Caenorhabditis elegans: one gene and its partners. The protein of the gene in region 3 purifies or fractionates together with the protein of the main gene of each other region. This does not show direct contact. Each region holds a gene or a part of one and is shown on either strand. Other genes may lie near its edges. The genes, in order: icd-1, rpl-4 and rpl-7.

Region 1 (3,569 bases), on a different chromosome or scaffold from region 3:
AATTTGAATTATTTTATCATTAATTTGAGTTTTCGTTTTAATATAAAAAAACTATGAAAATCGATAAATTCCGCAGCAACCAGTTTGAATTTCCAGTGAGCGAAGAAATTTAATTTTTTTTTACTTTTTATCTTAAAAAATGAGTCCATTTACTTACTTTTAGGCTCACACTAGAGACAGTCTTCTCGCTTTCGTTTACAACATTTACATAGAAAGTAAACGTCTCTCCCAGATAGATATTTCTGAAACGAAACGGTTTTTTAAACAGCGCCTTGATCAATCGACTCACTCGAACATTTGTGGTGCAATCAAATATTCGCCGATTGGAAGATCTTGTCGAGATTCTTTCGATATTTCTGAAACTTTTCCAGCGAGAAGTTCACCGAATCCTGTAGGATCGACGGGATCGTGGGAGAAACCATCGACAGGAGCAAATTTTGGACGAGCCAATCTCATAACTAAAATCGAAGCTATGATTGATTAATGATGAGAACTAAAATTACCCCGCAGAGCAAGAAGCTGTTGTGAAGAAGAACTTGCAGGATTGTCAGCCATTGTCCTGATTTATAAATAATTAGCTTTCCGCCGGGATGAAATCACAGTATAACTTTTCGGAATTTCTAACCTTACAAAATATTCTTTCGAGCTGGAATATTTGTGCAACTTTTATTGAGTTTAACAAAATGGAAGTCAGTGGAAAACTACCCAAAATAACGGAAAATAAACACCGAGGAACAGATATTACTAGAAGGATCCCCGGAACCCCTAAGAATTCAAAATCATCGGAACGTAGAAAGCTTGCTTTAAATACATAGCTAACATTTATTAGCCATTTGAGGATCGGGAATAAATTTGTATACAAAACAAGTATAACAACGAACACTAATGGGGGCGGAAAAAAAGGTGACAGAGCAAGTATTTTTTTAAAGAGATTCATTGAAATCGATCAACAGTAACAAGAAAAATGGGATATACTAATGCGGATGCTATCCGTACCGTTCATCTCACAAAACTCGCGAATTGGTCGATGAAAGGGTAGTGATTTATTGCTCATCGGCTTTCGTCTCGTTCTTTGAGGCGGCGTCGAAGTCTCCAACAAGTTCTGAAAAATGAACCTGTTATTTAAAAAAAATCTTTTATGATTTTCCAACCTGGCACATCTTCGTCCTCTCCCTTTCCATCTGGTCCGAGCTTGGTAACGTTGTTGGCAAGTTTCTTGAGGTGGGTGAGGGACTCTGGACCGAGTTGGTTGAGGATTCCTGGGAGCATTTCAGTGATCTCTGCAAAATATGTAAGGTTAAAAACATTCAGCCAATGAGCAATACTTACGCTTGTTATCGGCTGATCCTGTGACAGAGAAGGTATTGGCTGGAACAGAGGTTTGGACTTTTGGGTTGTTGAAGTGGATAACGGTTCCATCGTCCTTAATCATGTTGACCTGAAAAGTTACAGAAATTAAATTAATACTTTAAATCAAAGTTTACCTCCTCGATTCCTGGAATGTTGGTGACAGAGAGTTTCTTCAAGTTGCTTTGAAGCTTCTTGTCATCGGCAGCAGCGGTCTTGTGGATGACCTTCTTCTTTCTGCGTGGAGTTCCCTGAAAGAAATAGGAGAGATAAAATTATAAATTTAAATATTTACCTTTCCTCCAATTCTGACATGCTCCTGTTGAGCTTGGAGCTTCTTGATTCTCTCCGCAATAGCCTTGCTATCCATTTTTGGAAGGATTACCTGAAGACGAAAAATATAATTAAAGACGTGAAAACGTGAGAACAAAAAGGATAAAGCCAGTTAAGAATATTTATTCCTAAAATAACAAAGGGACGGGGAAAATGCGGACAAACGCGAAAAACGGAAATGTAAGTTTATCAATCGAATCAGTTTTAGCCTAAATTCAGGCACGGAAACGAATACACCTACGAGATCGACAGAAAATTATGAAAATGGTGTAAACAATAATGAAATAGAATCTAAAAAGATAGAAAGAAGTCAAAAACAATGAAATTCAGAAAAAATCACCGAAACGGTAGAAAATTTTTTCGCGAGACCCGAACATTCCGTGCGTATGTGCCCCTTGCTTTAAAATTTCTTGATATAGGGGTAAGGGGCACATACGCAGAATCTGGCTTGCTGCCAGTCGTTTTCCTCTCACCCTCTCTGTCTCGTCGTTTCTCATACTCCTTTCTTTCTCTATTTCTCTATATCTCGCTTCATCATTAAAATGTCAAAGCTATTTCGCAATTTTCTCGCTGTCTCGTTCTGCCATACCATGAATCACAAGGGTTTCTGGGCTTTATTTAAGTTGTGAAATTCTAGTTTAGAAACTCCTTCTTTCCTCATTTTCTTTTGAATTTTCTTTTCAATTCACTACCCTTTCCCGCAACGTACTTATCGCAATCTTTCATTCGAAGCAATGCCTTCTTAACGTGCTCCGTGTTTCGCCAGCTCGCTGTTAATCGATCGCCGCTCCGGCAATTGTCGTTTTGTTTGTATTAAATCTCCATAGCAATTCTCTCAAAGGCGGGCCATTGCTATATTGCTAGTAAAACAAGTTCCCAATTTTACTTTTCAATACATTCTTTGACTGATGTATCATGTGATCTCTTTTTTGTTCTTCTCGATTACACTATCTAAAAATGATGACGTATTTGCTTCGCGCCTATTTGGTTGAAGTGATGATTCATCCATTGATTGTCGTCTCCACTTGTGCTTTTTTCCTACGTCCTACCACTTCCTTTTAAGCGTTTTGTATATTCGCTTTTTCATTTATTTTTTTTTTGCAGAAAATGAGCCTGTTCGGCAAAATTTTCGGAGGCAGGAAGCAAGAAGCTCCGTCTACTCCACAAGAATCTATTCAAAAACTTCGGGAAACAGAGGAGATGCTTGAGAAGAAACAAGAATTCTTGGAGAAAAAAGTTATCGACGTAGGTTGGAAGATAATTTTTAAGAACAGGACCATTAATAAGTGTTTGTGCTGAAATCTAAATTTGTAAACTATCTGTTTGTGACGTAATTAAAACATTGCTCAGCATTTGGATTGTTGACTGACGTCAAATCAAATTTTAGTCGAGAAAAGTTAAAAAAGATTTTCTGATAGGATACATTTGGGAAATTGGAATCATAGTTTTATAATTCCAGTTTCCAACAAAAAATAATATTCTAAAATTAACATCAAATTTCGGACATTTAATTGAGAAACTTTCAGGAAAAGCAAAATGCCGTGAAGTATGGAACGAAAAACAAGCGAATGGCTCTCCAGTGTTTGAATAGAAAGAGAAATTTCGAGAAGCAGTTGGCCCATATTGACGGAGTTTTGTCTACTATCGGATATCAGGTTGGTATATAAGGGAAATATTATAAAAATTAATTGAACAGCACGGTTTTTTTCCAGAGAGAAGCCCTCGAAAATGCTTCAACGAATGCTGAAGTTCTCAATGTTATGGGAACTGCTAGCAAGGCGTTGAAAGCGGCTCATAACAACATGGATATCGACCAAGTTCATGATTTGATGGAAGACATAGCTGAGCAACAAGAAGTGGCAAACGAAATCGCTGAAGCTATTTCAAAC
Region 2 (3,612 bases), 4.5 Mb from region 3:
ATAATTTTACAGTTATATTCGATCATTTTCTATAACTTAAAGCAAAATCCTTAATCGGTCCTCACAGCACATTTAAAATGTGATTCTACAGGTTCGAAGATACGGCACAACCCAAAGTCAATCTTCACCAGTTACACCATGTTCATATACAATTTACCAAGTTCAAACCGATGATACACTTGAAAGAATAGCATTAAAGCATAATTGTTCGGTTGGTTCCATTTGTTTCTCCTTATCTGTTGTTCATGTACGATTTCAGGTTTCATCTCTCGTTCGTGCAAACAAGCTTTGGTCTCCCAGCGCCTTGTTCATGAAGCAATTCATTAGAATACCCATTTTCAATTCACAACAACCTAATCTCAAACCATCTTTGCAAGAAACTCAATGCAAAATTGTGCCTGCCACTACTGAACGGGTCGACAGTAGCCGAGAAGAAAAATCTATGAAAGATATTTTACAGCGCATAGATCGGAACATCAAATCGTTTCGGAAATGTGATAACCCTAGCAGCTCAGCTTATGATCATATTTAAATTATTTTTGAAATAAATCTGTTGTCAAAGTAAATCGTTCTGGAAATTTAAACAATGCGTTCAACAAATTAAATCGGTTATTAACAAAAAAGTTTATCAACAACAGAATACTTATTTCTTCACGTTGGCCTTTGAAGCCTTGCGGAGGATAGAAGCATATGGGTTCAACTTGTACAAGAGGGTTCTCTTCTTGAGTGGGTTGCGGTGGACCTTTGGAAGCACTGGGTTCTTCTTTGGAGCTCTGATAGCCTTAACGACCTCTTCGGAACGGATGATGCGGGAGAAGTCGGAGTTGGCCATGATTGGGAGTGGGACAGACCATCCCTTCTTGAGTTGAGAAGAGTTGGCAACGGTGGTTCCGTAGATGGTATCAAGCTTCTTGAAGGCAGACTCGGTCCAGATGATAAGACGTCCGAGATGTCCTCCTGGGGCGAGCTTGAGAAGGTTGAGTCTCTCAACATTCATGACATCGACTCCTGGGATGTTGCGGAAGGCACGAGCGCACTCAGCATCTTGTCCGTAGATAACAACTGGTCCGAGCTTCTGCTTGTGTTGACGGTTGCGGAGCTTTCCCTTTCCGGCGCGGTTTCTCTTCGAGTTGTAAACCTTAAAACTGTTACGTTAAAAACAAATTTAATTTTTTTAAATGGTATACCTTCTCGATATCAGCCCACAAGTGGGAGCGACGGAGGAAGACGACGGCCTCCTTGGTCTTGCGGAAGCTTTCGACCTTGTCGGAAACAACAAGTGGGACCTCAGCGACCTAAAAAATAGTACTGTAAATAGGAACAAAACTTTTAAAAAAGTTTACTTACTTGATCGATGACGTGTCCACGAGCTTGGAGAAGAGCTGGGATTCCGGAGGCAGCAATAGCTGAGGAAACAGCGTATCTCTTCTGGGCAATGTTGACGTTGCGGTGCCAGCGGCGGAACACCTTGAGTGGGGCGAACATGTGTCCTCCACGGCACATATTTCCGAAAGCTCCCTGTCCGGAACGGTGGGTACCTCCTCCGCGAACACGTGGAATACGGGCAACGGCACGTCCAGTTCCCCAGGACTCAGCAGAGTGTTGCTTTCCTGAAATAAATAGTAATTGAGGAACACAGAAGTTAGTTTGAAATTAAAATAATCAATAACCGAATCTAATTATGTCACTTACCGGCCTTGGTGTTAACGGCATGGGCCTGTCTTCTGTTTCTGCGGACCTGATCGGCGATGAAGCTCACCAAGTCTGGGCGGATTGGAGTACGGAAAACGGCTGGGAGCCGGATTTGAGATTGAGTGGCCTCGTACTTTTCATCGTACACAGTCACGAGCGGTCTGGCCGCCATTATTACCTGCAATCAACAGAAATAGTAAAAAATAGATTAATTTTAAAAGAAAATGATTCAAAAAATGCGAGAAGAGTAAAGAAAAAATGATGATATTTTAGGCAATATTCAGATTTTTCGACCGAAACAGGCTTAGGATATTCAAAACCTTATTTTAATACATTCCAAATGTGAAAATATCACCGAAAATCTTTTTTATATTGAAAAAACGAAAAAAGTTCCTAAAAAATTTCAGAAAACAGGGAAATCGTGTTTAAAGGGAGGCAAAAATTAGGGTATTGGCTGAGTATCCAACGTCGGGGTCTCGCCGCGATGAGACGAAATGTCGGCAGGCAACTTGTGTCAATTTACGAGGGCGCGGTATCCGCTGATTTCAAACCCGATCCTTCCATTTTCTTGCTTAAAAACGTTTTCAAATAGTTTAATTGTGTTTTTACTTGTTTCAATACATAAGTGTTTGGGATAGATGCTGTCTTCTACATCAACATTCTTTCCTCTCGTGAAAATCGACTACAAGCGAATGGAATTATTGCGGAAAGCGGCACAGATGAAAAATTTCCGTGTAAATGAGGATACGCTGAGAAAATTGAACGACGTTGAAACAGTTGGTATGTGTTTTACAATAATATGTTTTGTTAAATAATTGAGTTTTCAGGTGAGATAATTTCCACAACACCGTCGACATCGTCAGTTGAATCATCAGGATTTCGAAGAAATGCGAAAAGAAAAATGGACGATGATTCGAACACCAGTATGTTTTCAGAAGAACAATGCTCTCATTGTGGATGCCGAATGCTTCGAGTTGTTGATCCAGGACGTCCCGATCGTATGATGGTTCTGGAGTGTATGCGCTCAAATTGTCTGGCATCTGTGAAACTTACTGATCTTCCAGTTGGGACGGTCATTGGAAAGGAAATTAGTTTGGTAAGTTGATAATTTATTTTGAAATTAAAAACAATCATTTTATTTTCAGACTCCGAAATCCGCCTACAACACTCTAGCTCGCTACTATCCCAAAAACCGTTACACTCCGGAATTGGATTCATTCGATCAGGAACAACATGGAAAGCGTAAAGCGAATGTCAAGATTTTTGAGTCATCTGCAAGAGGAATATTCATTGATGTTCCAGGACAAGACACCAAAGCTCGCTTTGTGGCATAATTTTAATATTAATCGTTAAATTACTAGTAATATGCCGGGTTGATCACAAAACCAAAAAGCCAACGCTGTATTAATTTTCACTTCCGATTTACTGAACGATCTGAATTGTCTGATAAATATCAAGTTTATAAAAGTAACATAAAACGATATTTCTTCAAACATTTATTTTTCCCGAATTTAATACAGTGCAAAAAAAATTAAATATGACTAGTTGATCAGAGGGGAGTGTGTCACAACCTTCGAATGCCTATAAAGCGACCAGTAGAACAAGAGAAAATAGAGATTCTGAGAGAGTTTAAACAATGTTTCTAAGAGAGATGCTACTCGTCCGATAGACTATCCATAAGATGTTCATTGTCCGGCGATAATGATTCCACTTTTCGTACTCGTTTTGAAAGCCCTTTTCGTATTGAAGTTGACGGATTTTGTGCATATGCAGCGCCAACGAATGCCACGAGGATCGGAATCGATGCAATAACTTGTGCCAGTGTTGGAGCTTTGCTTCGAATCACTGTATCGGCGAGGAATGACAGAGGAATGCTTACAGTCATTGATAGGCAGGTGGTGAGAGAATCACACATTCCAG
Region 3 (3,774 bases):
CGGAGCCACGTGAAATCTTGGCCTCGCGAGTAGGCGAGCATCCAAGTAAGCTCGTCGAGCAAAGCGCTCAATGCGAGAGCCTGTGCTCGCTCTTTTGGAGTCAGGCCCGAGTCCAGAGACTGGAAGAATATTTAAGCTTTTTCTAAAATTCTAGTTTTAAGCCAACTTTTCCATATTTGGCGAGCAGATAATCAAGTCCTTCCATCAAATTTTTGAAGAAATACCCATCGACATCAATCAATGGGTATAGGTGCTCACGAGGGAGTACATTGTAGAGAGAACATTGCGTTGTCTGGATTTAAATCTGGACTATGTTTATTAACCTAAATGCTCTCACTTCATAGGGAATTAGCTTGCTCCGAAGAAAAGTTTCTAGAAATAAACAGGATGGAGCATAGTAGGGAACAGTGACTGTTCTCGGGAGAGTAGTCAGCAAAGCGGTTTTACGATTCATCTGAATGATGAGACGCTTCATGAAATGCGAGATGAGTCGAGCCAAGACGATCACGTTTCATGATTATTTATGCACATAATTAAACAACGTCAAACAATAACGATTTATCCGGAAGGAAGGTATGAACAACAAACAAGTTAGACCATTTTTCGGAGAAGGTTGTTGATTTGATCTTCTCTGTTTCCGAAGTCTCCTCCTTCAACGAAGTGGTTGGTCTTCTTGGTCCATCCTCCAGTTGGGTTGTTGAGCTTGAAGGGCCACAAGAAGTTGGTGGCCTCCTTGAAGTGTGGTCCGACGGTGGCGATCTCGTGGGCCAAATCCTCAAGACAGATGATGTTGAACTTTCCTGAAAACAATTAAATAAGAATTAAAAAGCATAAGTTTTCAAATTACCGAGGCTCTGCTCGACGATGGTGTTGTCGGTGATTGGGACACGGTTTCCGTCAACCTTGGCGTATCCGCGCTTGTAGAGGAGATCGTGGATGGTCTTGTTGTTTGGATAACCCCAAGCTACGTATGGCTCGATGATACGGAGAAGTGGAAGAGTAGCCTTGTTCAGCTTGACGAACACTCCGTTGTTGATCTGACGAAGACGGAGGATCTGGAGAGCCTGAAAACAAAGAATGGTTATTAAAAAACTCATTAACACAATTTCACCTTTCTTGGCTTTGGATGAAGCTGGTTGATACCGCGAATTCTGACGACGAAGGCGACCTTGTGCTCAGCTGGAACGTAGAAGTCTCCCTTGGCCTCAGCCTCGCGCTTGAGTCTGAGTCCTTCCTTTTGGGCGTTTCTGTACTCCTGGACGTATTTCTCAGCACGCTTGAAGTATTGGGTCTTCTTCTCCTTGTTCTTCTGTAAAAAATTTTATTTTTAATGCAGGATTAGTTCAAATTAATTTTCAAACACCTAAAAGAAAATTTAAACTTTAAAATTTCGAATTGTCATCGTGTTATTGAGACGCATTCTGAATTGAATACACCTCACCCAAAAACAAGATAATTCTTATAGCTCAGTTTTGACGGCTGGCTTGGATAATAGTGGATCCTAAAACCAGTGCTTTTGAAGAGCATTTTCTGTTTTCTGACAGTTAAATAAACTTACAGCGGCGACGGTCACCTTGTGTTGAGCAGCCTTGGTGCGGGCATCGGCTCTCTGCTTTCTGCGCTTGAGCACAGTTTCTGGAACCTGTGGCACTTTCTTTCTGAAAAACCAAGAATTAATATCAAAATTGAAGTATTTGAAAGTCAGGCCTAAAAGTAAATTTCAATCTAATATAAATTTATAAAGAAAACTTACGTTGGAGCCATTATAGGCGATTGATTACCTGGAAAATCAAAATATTAATCAGAAAAGAAAATTATAAGATATTGAAACAGAGGAGCAAGTTTTCAAAACTAAATTATTTCAGTATTTTTCGAATGTTCAGCATTTTCTTCACGAAAACTATAAAAAACGCGTATCAGAATTACGGGAAATTAGTTCTAAAATTTATTCTGATGAAAATTTAAGAAAATCAATGAAAAATGCTCTGAAAAAACGGAAAAATTCGTTAGGCCAAAAAGAAAAAAATGTAAAATTGAGATTCCGTTGCGCCGCTGCGAAAGGGGTACGGTAGTTGTCGTGCCGAGACCCGAGGAGGCTTGCGCTGCGGCTAGCGTCGCGTACCCTCAGACCGACGTGGCTGCGCCGGTGCGCCTGACCTGTTTTACGTTCGATTTTATGGGTTTCACACGCATTTCGCGTTCGGAAAAGCTTATTCTGGATGTTCACAGCCATAAAACTAATTATTTTTTTCAATTTTTAGCTGAAATTATCAAAAAAGAACACCCAGAGAAAGCTTTCCCTTGTTAAAAATATCCTGTTCAACTATTTCGAAATCGTGTCGACAAACAAAGTTCGGCCGCTCACCTTCCCTTTTTCGGGTATGATAAGCCTCAAATACTCTTTCATAACACACTTCTATATACATTTTCACATTTTTCTTCTGACTAACCACCCTCATATATTGATAAAATTCAATATAAAACTCCCAACTCCATATACTTTGAATCATTCTTAAATCAAGTTCACTTATATTTTTTCAATCCCCGTCGAGATAGACAACCGGTTCCTGACTCCGCGTTTGTGTCGGGAACAGAACATAAAAATATTCTCCGCCGATAAAACAGTGTCTCGTTCTTTTAATATCGATTTTACAACAAAACATTGCGCCCGGCTGATGAATCATGTGACCAATGCCCTTTTTCTTTTTTACAATCGTCCCAATATATACACAACTTTCAAACAAGCTTTATCATTTTACAGCTCAGCAGTAAAGATGGGCTCTCGTGACGATGAATACGACTACTTGTTCAAGGGTAATTTTGTTTTTCATTTTTCAATTCCCAAACGAAAAATTGTTTCAGTTGTTCTGATTGGAGACTCAGGCGTCGGAAAGTCGAATCTCCTGTCTCGTTTCACAAGAAATGAGTTCAACTTGGAATCAAAATCAACAATCGGAGTCGAGTTTGCCACGAGAAGCATCTCGGTGAGGAACTTCATTAGAATACACTTATGATTCAAATTATTATTTTTGTAGGTAGAAGGCAAGACAGTGAAGGCTCAAATTTGGGATACTGCTGGACAGGAACGTTACCGTGCCATCACATCCGCTTACTATCGTGGGGCTGTCGGAGCTCTCCTAGTCTACGACATCGCTAAGCATGTGACGTACGAGAATGTTGAGCGATGGTTGAAGGAGCTTCGTGATCACGCCGATCAGAACATTGTGATTATGTTGGTCGGAAACAAGAGCGACTTGCGCCATTTGCGTGCAGTTCCAACAGACGAGGCCAAGATCTACGCCGAAAGAAATCAATTGTCGTTTATTGGTAAGTTAAACTAATCTATTGCGTTTATATATTTTTTTTTTTCAGAAACATCTGCCCTCGACAGCACCAACGTTGAAGCAGCTTTCACTAATATCCTGACGGAAATCTACAAATCAGTATCCAACAAGCATGTAGGAACTGACAGACAAGGATATGGCGGTGGCAGTGGTACAATCATTCCTTCGCCAGCGTCCGACCCACCAAAGAAGCAGTGTTGCATCCCATAAATCACATCGTGTTTTTTTTTTTCAGTCTAACGTGTGTATTTTTCGAAATGCCTTGTCCATTTAATTTACTGCCCCCGAAATCCAAATGATTCGCTCTTAACATCCGCGAGTTTTATCGAATTCTTGCAAGCACTGCGTTTGCAAGTCTTCACCGTTTTGGTGTGTAGTATTTGTAACTTTCTTTCAGATTTATTTGTAATTGCCTCCATCCCCACCCCTT

The links.
Region 1: the proteins of rpl-7 (region 3) and icd-1 purify together in Caenorhabditis elegans (affinity purification with mass spectrometry; 2 studies listed by BioGRID, with this or other methods). This does not show direct contact.
Region 2: the proteins of rpl-7 (region 3) and rpl-4 purify together in Caenorhabditis elegans (affinity purification with mass spectrometry; 2 studies listed by BioGRID, with this or other methods). This does not show direct contact.

What each region holds. Positions count from the first base shown.
Region 1 is NC_003280.10:6,586,924-6,590,492, forward strand, and holds icd-1 (Transcription factor BTF3 homolog), read right to left. Parts: upstream 1,733-3,569; 5' UTR 1,718-1,732; coding exon 1,643-1,717; intron 1,599-1,642; coding exon 1,485-1,598; intron 1,439-1,484; coding exon 1,330-1,438; intron 1,281-1,329; coding exon 1,152-1,280; intron 1,103-1,151; coding exon 1,044-1,102; 3' UTR 654-1,043; downstream 1-653. Other genes in the region: C56C10.7 (putative trafficking protein particle complex subunit 13 homolog), read right to left, coding at 158-242, 290-458, 504-555; vps-32.1 (Charged multivesicular body protein 4b), read left to right, coding at 2,788-2,925, 3,207-3,335, 3,393-3,569.
Region 2 is NC_003279.8:4,645,094-4,648,705, forward strand, and holds rpl-4 (Large ribosomal subunit protein uL4), read right to left. Parts: upstream 1,871-3,612; 5' UTR 1,865-1,870; coding exon 1,693-1,864; intron 1,687-1,692; exon of another isoform or gene 1,633-1,686; intron 1,611-1,632; coding exon 1,348-1,610; intron 1,296-1,347; coding exon 1,188-1,295; intron 1,139-1,187; coding exon 644-1,138; 3' UTR 569-643; downstream 1-568. Other genes in the region: lmd-2 (LysM domain-containing protein), read left to right, coding at 92-211, 260-532; B0041.8 (Plus3 domain-containing protein), read left to right, coding at 2,331-2,472, 2,520-2,788, 2,838-3,026; B0041.5 (Solute carrier family 35 member F5), read right to left, coding at 3,347-3,612.
Region 3 is NC_003279.8:109,045-112,818, reverse strand, and holds rpl-7 (Large ribosomal subunit protein uL30), read right to left. Parts: upstream 1,782-3,774; 5' UTR 1,765-1,781; coding exon 1,754-1,764; intron 1,659-1,753; coding exon 1,559-1,658; intron 1,533-1,558; exon of another isoform or gene 1,383-1,532; intron 1,310-1,382; coding exon 1,112-1,309; intron 1,065-1,111; coding exon 848-1,064; intron 801-847; coding exon 592-800; 3' UTR 547-591; downstream 1-546. Other genes in the region: F53G12.9 (GST_C_6 domain-containing protein), read right to left, coding at 1-119, 167-292, 338-454; Ras-related protein rab-11.1, read left to right, coding at 2,775-2,814, 2,863-2,984, 3,036-3,327, 3,373-3,554. UniProt on the Caenorhabditis elegans protein: Binds to G-rich structures in 28S rRNA and in mRNAs. Plays a regulatory role in the translation apparatus; inhibits cell-free translation of mRNAs.